Saccharomyces cerevisiae S288C: one gene and its partners. Changing the gene in region 1 together with any one later gene gives a genetic interaction. Each region holds a gene or a part of one and is shown on either strand. Other genes may lie near its edges.

What was found.
Region 2: mutations in CYT2 (region 1) and PNS1 together harm fitness more than expected from each alone (negative genetic interaction), as found in Saccharomyces cerevisiae (2 studies listed by BioGRID).
Region 3: mutations in CYT2 (region 1) and PRM3 together harm fitness more than expected from each alone (negative genetic interaction), as found in Saccharomyces cerevisiae (2 studies listed by BioGRID).

What each region holds. Positions count from the first base shown.
Region 1 is NC_001143.9:275,100-279,399, forward strand, and holds CYT2 (cytochrome c1 heme lyase CYT2), read right to left. Parts: upstream 2,765-4,300; coding exon 2,090-2,764; downstream 1-2,089. Other genes in the region: phosphopantothenoylcysteine decarboxylase complex subunit CAB3, read left to right, coding at 184-1,899; SRX1 (sulfiredoxin), read left to right, coding at 3,182-3,565; malate dehydrogenase MDH1, read left to right, coding at 4,024-4,300.
Region 2 is NC_001147.6:635,645-640,351, reverse strand, and holds PNS1 (Pns1p), read left to right. Parts: upstream 1-1,793; coding exon 1,794-3,413; downstream 3,414-4,707. Other genes in the region: YRR1 (Yrr1p), read left to right, coding at 1-792; YOR161C-C (uncharacterized protein), read left to right, coding at 1,085-1,231; mRNA transport regulator MTR10, read right to left, coding at 3,595-4,707. UniProt on the Saccharomyces cerevisiae protein: Probably involved in transport through the plasma membrane.
Region 3 is NC_001148.4:181,361-184,991, reverse strand, and holds PRM3 (pheromone-regulated protein PRM3), read left to right. Parts: upstream 1-1,935; coding exon 1,936-2,337; downstream 2,338-3,631. Other genes in the region: MIY2 (ubiquitinyl hydrolase 1), read left to right, coding at 313-1,395; RSA1 (Rsa1p), read right to left, coding at 2,444-3,589. UniProt on the Saccharomyces cerevisiae protein: Required for the fusion of nuclear envelopes during mating, ensuring proper karyogamy. Plays a role in the initiation of outer nuclear envelope fusion.

The sequences.
Region 1 (4,300 bases):
CCATACGCTTATACTGTTAAACATGTGAACTTTTCTGTAAGAAAATGAATCACGTAAAATTTCGCACCGAACTTTCGTAGATGAGAGAACAAAAAGCAGAAAAAGAGAAAGAACAGTAAAGTAACACTTAGTTAGCATATTTAAATAAAAGTCTAAAGGACCAGCAAAGAGTTATTAGGTGTGATGACGGATGAAAAAGTGAACTCAGATCAGAATATGAACGGTAAGCAGGGAGTTAACTTAATTTCATCCTTGCCTACAACACAAGTGCCGGTTTCAATTTTGACCAACAAGGAGAGAAGAAAAAGTATTCACGATGAATCAAATTTCGAAAGATCTGATAGTCATGAAGATCAATCAAAATCCAACTCTAATAGGAGGAATATTTACAAAAACGATTATAGCACAAATTTGAGGGATTTCTCTTTTGCCAATCTGAAGCAAAATAGTGAAAGGAACAAAGATGGCCATGAAATACAGATCAACACCAGTATGCCAGCTAATACAAATGGCCAGCAAAAAAGGTTTTCACCTTCATTACCTTCTGCTGTTTCATTTACGGTGCCCGAGGTGGAAAGGTTGCCGTATCATAGATATTCGATATCCAATAAACCTGGAAAGCAGCAGCAGCAGCAGGAACAACTGCAGCAAAATCAACAACAAGAAGAGCAGCAAAAGGCACAACTGCAGGAGCAAAATCAACGAGCAAAACAGCAAGAAGAGGTGAAGCAAATTCAGGAGCAAGTGCAAAAAAAGCAAACTGAAAGACAGCAACTGATAGACGAAAAGGAGAGGATAGCGAATGCAATATTTAAGGAGAACACTACTAATGATGGTACTGATATCAGGAAACATTCGGTATCGAGTGGTACGAGCAATAGCGAAGATGAAGTAGATTCACCTTCGATGGAAAAAAATTCTATCGTTCATATGCCAGGTGATTTTATCTACTTCAATCCCAAGTCAAACGCTTCTAAACCTATCACTGCAAAGGCGGCGCCATTATCGGCTAATAACTCCACACATAAAAACAAGGAAGTTATCACTGCACCCACAGGGCCTCGTGTACCCTTCACAGAGTTCTTTCAGAAGGAAGACGACAAGAAATTCCACATTCTCATTGGTGCGACGGGCTCAGTTGCCACAATAAAAGTACCTCTAATTATTGATAAACTTTTCAAGATATATGGGCCTGAGAAAATCTCTATTCAGTTGATTGTCACAAAACCCGCTGAGCATTTTTTGAAAGGGCTCAAAATGTCAACACACGTTAAAATTTGGAGGGAGGAAGACGCTTGGGTATTCGACGCTGTGAATAAGAATGATACTAGCTTGAGTCTGAACTTGATATTGCACCATGAATTAAGAAAATGGGCTGATATTTTCCTGATTGCGCCTTTGTCAGCTAACACACTTGCTAAACTGGCCAATGGTATATGTAACAATTTGCTAACTTCTGTGATGAGAGATTGGTCACCACTGACCCCAGTGTTGATTGCGCCTGCAATGAATACATTCATGTATATCAATCCTATGACAAAGAAACACCTGACGAGTTTAGTGCAAGACTATCCGTTCATCCAAGTTTTGAAACCGGTGGAAAAGGTATTAATATGCGGAGATATTGGTATGGGTGGTATGAGAGAATGGACAGATATTGTAGAGATCGTTAGGAGGAGAATCAATGAAATACGGAAAGCTAGGGACGAGGAAACTGGTGATAAAGAGCAAGAACAAGAAGAACAAGAGGGTGCTGACAATGAGGACGACGATGATGAGGATGACGAAGAGGATGAGGAGGACGAGGAGGAGGAAGAAGCTCTAAATGAAACAGCATCCGATGAGAGCAATGACGAGGAAGACGAAGAGGATGAGGAAGACGTGAAAACCGAAGTTTAAATGCATTAGAAAAGAGTATTTTGTGTTATGTTTTATGTTTTATTTTTTTTTTTTTTGTTTATTCCTTAAAAGAAGATTACTGCTTTTTCATTCCCTAGTTTCTAAATTGAGTGCCTAAATAAGATTAAATAAATATGTATGTGGAAACTAGGGAGGGTATGTTTTTATTTACAGGAATAGTTGTAGTAATTCAAAAGCCTAAAGATTTCCAGAACCGTAATCTAAAGCCCTCAAAACTGTTTAATTTTGGTCTAACATCGAGATAAATAAGTGGTTGTTGCTGCGAGTTTGCATCGTTCAGATCGGTGGAATAGAAATCGATTACGTAGTCGACGGTTTTACCGCATCTATCTATCTGCCAATCATGTCTATCAAAAGGTTTGGCCAGGTGCAAGATACGGGACCTGAACCAGGCCCTTGGTGTCAGTTTTTTGGAATCACCTTTAAAATTTGTTAATTTGATACCGCCACACGCTTCACCACCCTGCTTGTCTTCCCAGCTTTTAATGTAGTTCCAAACCCGCTCATTGATGGAGTTATGTAAAGGCACAACCACCTTCATGTCATCTGAGTTCGGATCCCAATTTTTTTTCATCATTGCCTCGTAAAATTGTTTCTCCGACGGGTATATCCAGTTTCTGTCAGAATTCGTCCTTGGTATGGTGGAAACCTCTCTGGACTGAGAGAGATCCACCGTGGTGTGATATTCAGGCGTTTTATCGTTATCTTGTGGGTTTGCAGAGCACTCTAGTTGATTGCCTGGGGCAGTAGCACCAGGATGCGCTTCGTTGCCATGTTCTCGTAGCCATAACTTTTTGGTTTCCTCATCTACGGGGCATTTCCCCTGTTGGTCTGAAGACATCATAATATGTAAAATAGAGACGAATGAAAAGCACGTGAACTAACAAACTATTTACTACTACCGAAATGTGATGCTTAAGCCTTTGGCCTCTGCAATACTAGCGATTGCTTTTTCCCTGATTAGTAAGCTACATCATTTATACTACATCTTTCTGTCTTAGAAGGCTTACAAACATCGAAAAGCTGGAACTTTGATTTCGAAAAAAATATGCCGTTACCCGTTGCGGGTCCCTTTTTTTTAGAAGGCCGGCCCAGAAGTCGCCATTATTTTTAGTCATTACAGTAGCCCTGTTGGGTAAGGATGCGATGCAATACATGTCAAGAGGTGTTGTATATAAACCACAATATCTACCATCAATGAGCTATATATACTTTTCTTACTGAAAAAAAAAACTACAAAACCAAGTAAAAAAAGAACAATATGTCACTACAAAGCAACAGTGTAAAACCAACAGAAATTCCTCTCTCAGAGATCAGACGCCCCCTAGCGCCTGTGTTGGATCCTCAAAAGATCGACGCAATGGTGGCCACAATGAAGGGCATTCCCACCGCTAGCAAGACATGCTCTCTAGAACAGGCTGAGGCGGCTGCCTCAGCCGGGGAACTGCCGCCCGTGGACGTGCTGGGCGTGCGAGTCAAGGGACAGACGCTATATTATGCCTTCGGCGGCTGCCACCGTCTACAGGCATACGACCGCCGGGCTCGCGAAACGCAGAACGCCGCCTTCCCCGTGCGCTGCAGGGTGCTACCGGCCACTCCCCGCCAAATCCGCATGTACCTGGGCAGCAGTCTCGACATCGAATAATGATTACGCTAATAACACTACATAAGAAACATAGATAAATTATAATTCACTAATACAAAATCCCTCAATTTAATTAATCAATTTCTTATTCAACAACTAGAGTAGGCACTAGCAGTTTGTGCGACCCTCGGCGCCGGAGAGGTACAAGGGACCTGGCGGTTGGGCCTTCCTGCCAGCTTCTCCCCCCCTTCTCGGCATTCACTCAGCGTTCATTGGCTCAATCACGCGCCAAGCGGATTCCCAGAAAAATACAAAAAAAAGTTGCCATAATACAATGGCGGATATTACAATATATATAGCTTGCGCTTTAAAAAGAAGTGTTAGCACGCATTGGGTGTTTGTACTGTATTCCTCCACTTAAGATAACGAATACACATATAGATATACAATATATTATACGTGGACATCTACGGAAAGGAAGAAAAAAAACAAAAGGAAAAGGAAGGATACCATATACAATGTTGTCAAGAGTAGCTAAACGTGCGTTTTCCTCTACAGTTGCCAACCCTTATAAAGTGACTGTTTTGGGTGCAGGCGGTGGTATTGGACAACCATTGTCTTTGCTTCTAAAGCTTAACCATAAAGTCACGGACTTAAGACTGTACGACCTAAAGGGCGCAAAAGGTGTTGCCACCGATTTGTCTCATATTCCAACAAACTCCGTGGTCAAGGGGTTTACTCCAGAAGAGCCAGACGGATTGAACAACGCTTTAAAGGACACAGACATGGTTTTAA
Region 2 (4,707 bases), on another chromosome or scaffold:
AACATAGAATCCAAAAATAATACGTTTCAATTGGTTTTGATCAATTTTTCCATCATTGTGAATACCACAATTCGATGCTATCGTATCGACAAAGCACTTTACCCAGAGAAATTCGAAGCCTCCAACCCGCACTTACCGCCACATATGGCGTTATCAATGAGCCTCACGGCAGGGCTTTTTTCCAAAACATTGGTGTTTTTTTGTTCTCTGATCTACTTTAAGTTGACGCTTTTCGAAAATGGACTATGTCTATCCAACGATATGGAAGTTGGATGGTCGGATTTGACGAAATTGACTGTTCCTTTAGACAAGGATCTATCTTTAGGTACAGCAATGAGCTTGTACTCGTCAATCTTCGATCGCTTGTTCACGGTCGGAAATAAAGAATTAATACGCACAATGCATAGATCATCACAATTTGTGATAGAGCTAGCTATTGAAAGGACCTATAGGACTATTCTTGGCAACGTTATTGAATTCAGAAAGTTGACCGAGGAAACATGGCTAGCACAAATCAAACAAGAACTAGATCCGCAGAGCGATAATCCATCATCAGAAGCTAAAATTGTGAGTGATAGGCAGCGGGATCTCAGCCTTGCAGTTCCAACGCCCACGCCCTCAATAATTCCAATGTTACCCTCGCCTGGTGAAACTAAGAACCATGCAAAGAGTCAATCAGAGATCATTCAGATGCTGACAGATGAATTTTGGGCAAATTATAACTCAGGCTGGGAAGAGTTGATTAATCAATCTGAATTTTCCACTCTTTTCGATGATTACAAAGACAATTAATGCTAAGTCGAGGCAATCTCGCGGCGCGACTACTTTGAAGCCTTTTTTTAGTTCTTTTTTATGATCAAAATGTTTATATAATTACCCAGATTATCAACCCACTTCGATGATGGGCCGCACCTGACAGAAAAAAATGAATCAACTGGCTACTAAAGATGGTACAAAAGTTCACTTTATTCAGATATAGAATTGCTGAATCGCTGCTTACCGCCATACGCTTGACTACTTTTACACCCGTACACCACACATACAACCGTACGACTACTTTTCATGCAACAGCGTGCGTTTCGACATGTCTTACACACGAGTAGATCATCCCACTGGAAAAATGGCTTGTCACCTGAGGCAGATTTTGGCAAGCCCACTGTTTTTCGCAAATTATGTACTACATGCAGCCATTCACTACCCTTCGAGCGACATACGCGGCGACATCCTGTAGAGCAATGTTGTCCTTACCAAGACGTCTTGATGAAGGATAAGCATACGCGAAGAGATTTCCTCTCGGAGAGCCTGCAGGGAGCGGCGCACCTCGCCAGCGGAGTTATCACACGTAATGGTACTGAGTGAGAGACCCCGCCCGACACCGCACGGCCATTTGCAGAAAGAAAAACAAAGTCCACTACGGCTAATTACTGCAGAATGCTTTTTTTTCTTTTTTTTTGTGGTTGGTATGTTCCCTTCTAACAGGATTCTTCCTTCGGTAGATCCTTGAGGGGTTTAAGGGGTTTTCTGTTTGCGTAATGGCGTAATTGCCAGCTATATATAACATTATCATCACATATATATCCTTATACGTAGCTTGCCCTTATATATATATTGATATGCGGATATTCGTTGAATGTAGTTCAGTCGTAATCGCTACTTATTGGTAATCATAGCAATTGAATGCTTCTATATTCCTTTCTTACTTTTTTTAATTGCGCATTATAAAAAACTTGAAGGTGCATATTTCCGATTAGGGCCATCAATAGTGACCATAATTATCGGTACATTAATACGTCATGCCATTGAATGAAAAATACGAGAGGCCTCCGCAACCTCCTCCAGCATATGATCCCAACCATAGGCCGCCCAGTTCTTCCGAGAACTCTGCCGCGGCGAATGTCAACGATGGCCAGACGCCGTACCATTTTAGACAGGATCAATATTACAATCTAAATTCCAAAACGAGTGGGGCTCCTATAGGGAGCTTCGACGAGGCCTTTCCTACTGAAAATGACAACAAGCCCAGGTGGAACGATTGGCCATTTACCATTTTTTTCCTATGCACGGTAGGCGGATTCATCGCCATTGCTGCCATAACCTTAAGAGCGTGGTCCCAAACCTATAGCAGTACGGGTTCCGGAATATACGATGGTGTGAATACTGGTACGCTGAACACCAATGCTGCCATCCTGCTAGTTTTCGTGTGCATTATTGCCCTAGTATTCTCCGTTTTGGGCCTCACACTTTGTCGAATTTTTCCGAAGCAGTTTATATATTGCGGTATGGTCATCAACCTAGTGGCTTCTCTTGGGACTGCCATCATGTACATGTCTTTGAGGTACTGGTCTGCAGGTATTGTGTTTTTAGTCTTCACGTTCATGACCGCGTGGTGCTACTGGGGTATGAGGTCTAGAATTCCCCTTTCTGTGGCGGTATTGAAAGTCGTCGTCGATGCCATGAAGAAATGCCCACAGATCTTCTTTGTTTCATTTGTTGGAGCGCTAGTTGCTAGTGCGTTTGGGTTTCTCTTCTCAGCAGTCATTGTGGCTACGTACATAAAGTACGATCCTAATAGCTCGAATGGCGGCTGTGACGTTTCTGGTGGCAGCTGTTCGCATTCCAAATTGATTGGTGTTTTGGTTGTGGTTTTTTTCTGCGGCTATTATATCTCTGAAGTAATAAGAAACGTCATACATTGTGTTATTTCTGGCGTCTTTGGCAGCTGGTATTATATGTCAAAGTCTGACCAAGGAATGCCAAGGTGGCCCGCATTTGGAGCATTGAAGAGAGCCATGACTTACTCGTTCGGTTCCATTTGCTTTGGGTCCTTGCTAGTCGCTTTGATCGACCTGTTGAGACAAATATTGCAAATGATCAGACACGATGTTACCTCCAGCGGTGGCGGTCAAATTGCCATCCAGATTTTGTTTATGGTGTTTGACTGGATTATCGGCTTTCTGAAGTGGCTCGCCGAGTATTTCAATCATTATGCATACTCGTTCATCGCTCTTTATGGTAAACCGTATTTAAGAGCGGCCAAAGAAACCTGGTATATGTTAAGAGAAAAGGGAATGGACGCCCTAATCAATGATAATTTAATTAACATTGCACTGGGTCTATTTTCAATGTTTGCTAGTTATATGACCGCTTTGTTCACGTTCTTGTATCTAAGGTTTACCTCGCCTCAATACAATTCGAACGGCGCTTACAACGGCGCCCTAATGGCATTCTCATTTGTTATTGCTTTACAGATTTGCAACATTGCAACAGAAGCCATTAGATCCGGTACTGCAACTTTCTTTGTTGCTCTTGGTAATGACCCGGAGGTCTTCCATCATTCTTACCCTCATAGGTTTGATGAGATTTTTAGGGCATATCCTGATGTACTCAGAAAATTGAGTCACCAGAATGTGTGAAGAGATGTTTATCATATGTCACTATTTCTCCTTGTTCTTCTTAACAATTCTATATTTAATTACAATATTTTAATACTTAATTTTTTCTACTTCAATTACCTTTAAGTTCTATCTTTATTAAATTGTTTATTTTGTTTTTATACATTCTGTGCAGATTAACAATATGCTATTTATTAAATGACTATTCAAACCTCGAATTGATATTCTTTCTTGAATACCATCCAACAAACGCCCTAATTCCTTCCCTCACCTTTCTGTAATCCTTTGAATTCAACCCCTCAACCACGGCCTTCGCCAAATTATCTCTTTCATTAAGGGTTACTTGGCCAAGTTGTTCCACCACTTTGTAAATCCAATCGATGCAAATAGTGGCATCGTTGTTGTTTGCCTCTGTCAATATCCTTAAACATTTTACAATACAACTGATGGCATCTGAATGAGCGGTGTTTTCAAAAGTAGTAACCAGCCCGATGAATAACACTAATATCAATTGGTTACCGTGGGCTATCACGACTTCGTTAATAACTTGCTTCCTCCATTCATCTGGAACAATCTCGATGGACACTGTTGAGATCGGTGGAGTCTTGAACCCCCAGGATATGATATCATCTAAGCAACGCAAGATACATATGTAAGCATCGTAGTTATCAAGCTTATTAACACACTCGAGGGCAACATTCAGTACGGGGCCTAGAAGCTCTGTTGAATTCAAAAATGCGCCAGGATAAAACATTATCAAGTCTGAAATTAATGAGAAAAAATCGATTATTGCCTCATGATAATCGTTTAATTGAAGTTTATCAAACTTGTTGAAATTCAGTATGAACGTCTCGCATTGGGAGAGGGCAAATTTCCAGACAGCATCTTTCAGACTCGGGGATATGGGGAATGATTCATCGTCACCAAATATAACAATAAGGGAACCAGAACACCACAGATAGGAACCGAATCCAGTCGTTAAATAACCTTGGATTAGAAATTCGGCAACAGAAGGTAATATTGGCTCGCAAAATACATGAAATCTCTCAAAAATTCTGCGTAGCAATTTAGCTACTCTTTCTACGATAATACTATCAGTCATTGCACCTGCATCAACTAGCAGAGTTCTTAATGCCTTCCAAATAAATTCTATCCTGGGGAGTAAAGGTTCCGATCCTTGCTGAGGATAATTGTATCTCGGTTTCAATTCTTCAAAAAGCGCATATAGCAAATCAATCTTATCAGCAATCTGTGGAGCCAAGAGCGTTGGATTTGCTTTCCATTGAGGAATCAAAGCCTCGATTTGTCGCAAATT
Region 3 (3,631 bases), on another chromosome or scaffold:
TTCTCTTTAGTTAAATGTTCTTATATCAAAACTTTGTAAAATTGCTTTGTAAACAGATTATTAAGTACCGCTCTATTTACCCCATAACGAAAAGAAGTTCCGCGCTTAGGACACCTTTCCCTAGAGGTTCTTGTTTGATTTGTTTTAGTCATCTGCCTGTCGTTTATTTTAGTTTCGCAGTATTAACAGCGAGCAGTACGAAAAAAGGGTCTTGAAAACGTTGGACAAAATGCCCATTCTACAAGGCGCTTTAAAGAACAGCTCAAAGTAGATTCACATCACTGCAATTCTTGTTTATTGCAATATCTTTTCATGGATTTAAGTTTCACGACTAAAAGTGTCAAAATTAATGGTCAAAACCATCGAATATTACTGCAAAACGAAAACGGACCTTGTGCCTTGTTAGCACTTGCAAATATTCTAATACTTTCACCAGATCATACACGTTTTTCCAATGAGTTAATAAGGTTGGTAAATAAGGGAAGTCAAATATCTTTAAAAGAACTTATTGAAGTCTTAGCAGATATCGCTTTACAAGTTACAGATAAACCTAGTACTGATATAAGTGAGTTACTAAGTTTGTTACCTAGATTACATGAAGGTTTAAATATTAACCCTGAGTTTAATGGGTCTTTTGAAAATACTAAAGAGATGTCAATATTTCGATTGTTTAACGTTGATGTTGTCCATGGCTGGGTTATCAACAGTTTCATAAATGAAAACATTGATGAGAAACTATCTCATTATTCTTATGAATCTGCGCAGAGAATCTTAACACAAGCAGCTGATATAAATTGTGGAATTTCCCAAGATGAAAACTCGGACGAAGTTTTACGTGATGCCATGCATTTGGGTCTGTTTTTGAACGAATCACCGACTCAGTTGACCGCCTTTGGACTCCTACGATTGAGAGAAAAGCTGCTACACAACAAATTCTCCATTTTATTCAGAAATGACCATTTTTCTACATTGTTCAAATACGAAGATCGATTATACACATTGGTTACGGACTTTGGTTATAAAAATTGTAAAGATATTGTATGGCAATCCCTAGATTCGGTGGACGGCTCCTGCGATGCTTTTTTTGCCGGTAACTTTAGTGCAGCAGAGGTAAATGGACAGCAATTGTCAACTGACATTGAACGTGATTTTGGAACTGGAAATTTGCTACTTGAAGAAATTCAGCAAATTGAAAACGATAAAGAACTAGCCAAACAGTTACAGGAACAAGAACAAGAACGTGTTACGAAATTTGAAGCAAAAAGGAAAATCCATTCTCACAAAAAAAACTCAGAAATACACGCACCAGTCAAAAAAGACAAGTTTAAGCGAAGAAGCAGCCTTCTCAATGCAAAAGCTTCTGAAAAAGAGAAAAGTGAGTGCGTTGTTATGTAAGAGCTGTTCACTTGTTTTTATCGTATATCCTCGCGTAAAACATGATTAATCAATCTGTTCGCTTTAAGGAAGATCTCATAAGGACACCGACTCTCTAATTATTCTGGAGATATGTGGACCCCTACAGGCGTGATTTTCTGTCTAAACATTGCCACATAAAACAGGCTTGACATTATATTGGCCATTTGATTTATACTTGTTTCAGATCCTTTGTCGGGCCGGATTCTAAGAGCGCGCGCGAGGCGTCGAAATAAATCAAATAAGAACTAAAATACATAATTCTTGTCACAATGGATTGAATTTCAGTGCATAAGATTACATTTGTCGGAGCTATAATTCCATTACGGCAAAACAGAACTGAAACAAGTATATTGGCTATCTCTAGTATAAATTGTTGTAAAACTGACATCATATGGAACCAAAGTAGTAGACTCGCATTTGCAAACATATTTAAAATACTTGGAATAGATTTCACCAGCCTCAAGATAAATTTATAAACACATTAAATAACTAATAAATATATAAATACTTCTCCAAAAAATGACAGCAATGAAAGAAGACAACGCTGCATTGATTACACTGAAGAAAAACAACGACCAAGAAAAACTTAGAGTGCATAAACTGACAGATGCAAGTTCAAACTCTGCTGATGGGTTCGTTATAAATAAAGCCAAAAACGGTGGACCGCTTAATAAAAAGTCATTAGTTAATAATGAACAACACATTAAGAAGGCTGTGTCGCCTGGTAGAGTCAGGAAGCACAAAACGACAACATCTTCCACAAAATCACGAACGAAAAGTAAGAAAAAAGACGCTTCTGAAAGTAAAGTACAGAGAGAGAATAAGGGTTCATTTTACCAAGGTGCCATTTTCGGTTCGTTCCTTGGTGCTGCTGTAACTACTGTTTTAAGTAACCTAGCAGTTAAAGCTCTTCAAAATTAGTTTCATATACTCATGATTTCTAAACAGTAATTAGTTTTATCTGACTTATTTTTTTTTACGCACCTTTGCATGTACTCTTCCATGTATATCAATATTTGCTATTCTATTACTTATTTCTAGTAAAGTTGGCTCTACTCAGATTAGGTTTCCTGTTTTTGTAATTTGGTTTGTAATGATTTTTATTATTATCTTCAGAGCTCCCAAAAAGTACATCTTTTTCTTGTTGAGATAGCTCATATTCAAGTAATCCTACATCTCCCAATTCTCTTATAAAGTCCAAAAGTTGGGAGTTTTCGTTTGCGAATTCTCGCTGTATCAATTTCAAGTTCAAGTCAATCTTCGGATTTCCTCTCTGCACTTGATTTTGAATACTCTGTATAAATTGCTTTTCTTTCCTTGACTCTTTGAAAATGCTAGGTTGGCTCTTCAGTTCATCTTCCTTTATGCCCATTTCTTGCATATGTTTCTGTTTGTTATTGGATATTTTCAGTAGCCACATTTTTTTTCTTTCTTCTCTCCACTTTTTAACATCTTCATCAGTAATCAATGCTATGGAGGTTCCAGGAACCAAAACCACCTTACCCAACCCCTCTGATTCTAACTGCTCATCACGATCATCATCTTCTAGCCCTAAGTTATTATGATCATCTTCGGCATTAGAATTTGCCAGCTCGGGATCCTTTCTTGGGATTTCTGTAGGCTCCGCAGATGCTTGATCCTTGCTTGATGGTACTGGACTTATTTCATTCATAAACGTATCTTTCCCTCTGTTTTTCTCAATCAATTGTATTTCCTTTACGGTCGGTATTGCAACATCTTCATAACTAATTGATGTTTGGTAATCTTTATCATTCTTTAAGGCTTGAGTGTTTTCACAATATGATGATGGCCACTTCTGTAAATTAAGCGCTGGTGCATAAGATATATTCTGATGAACTGGCGGTATGTAATTTTCTGTATAATTGGGAGGACTCGTATAATTGTACTGAGTGGACGGTTGTATTGGATGGAAATATTGATTATGAGGGGCTACATGATGAAGTTGAGGAGTATAACCGGTATTCCATGAACCTTCATAATACGGAGAGTTCGGATACATATGAGGTGAGTAAGCTGCATTAAAAGCAGAGTCTGTTTTTTGCCTTTTAATTTTCGATTCATCATAGCCATCTGATAGCGTTCCGGAGTATGTAGGTTTGGGAAGCCTAGAATGTCCATCACCCTTCGAATTTTCAAAGTTATTATAATTCATAGTCCATGTCGCAATAAGCTAATCAAAATGGAAAAAGAGATT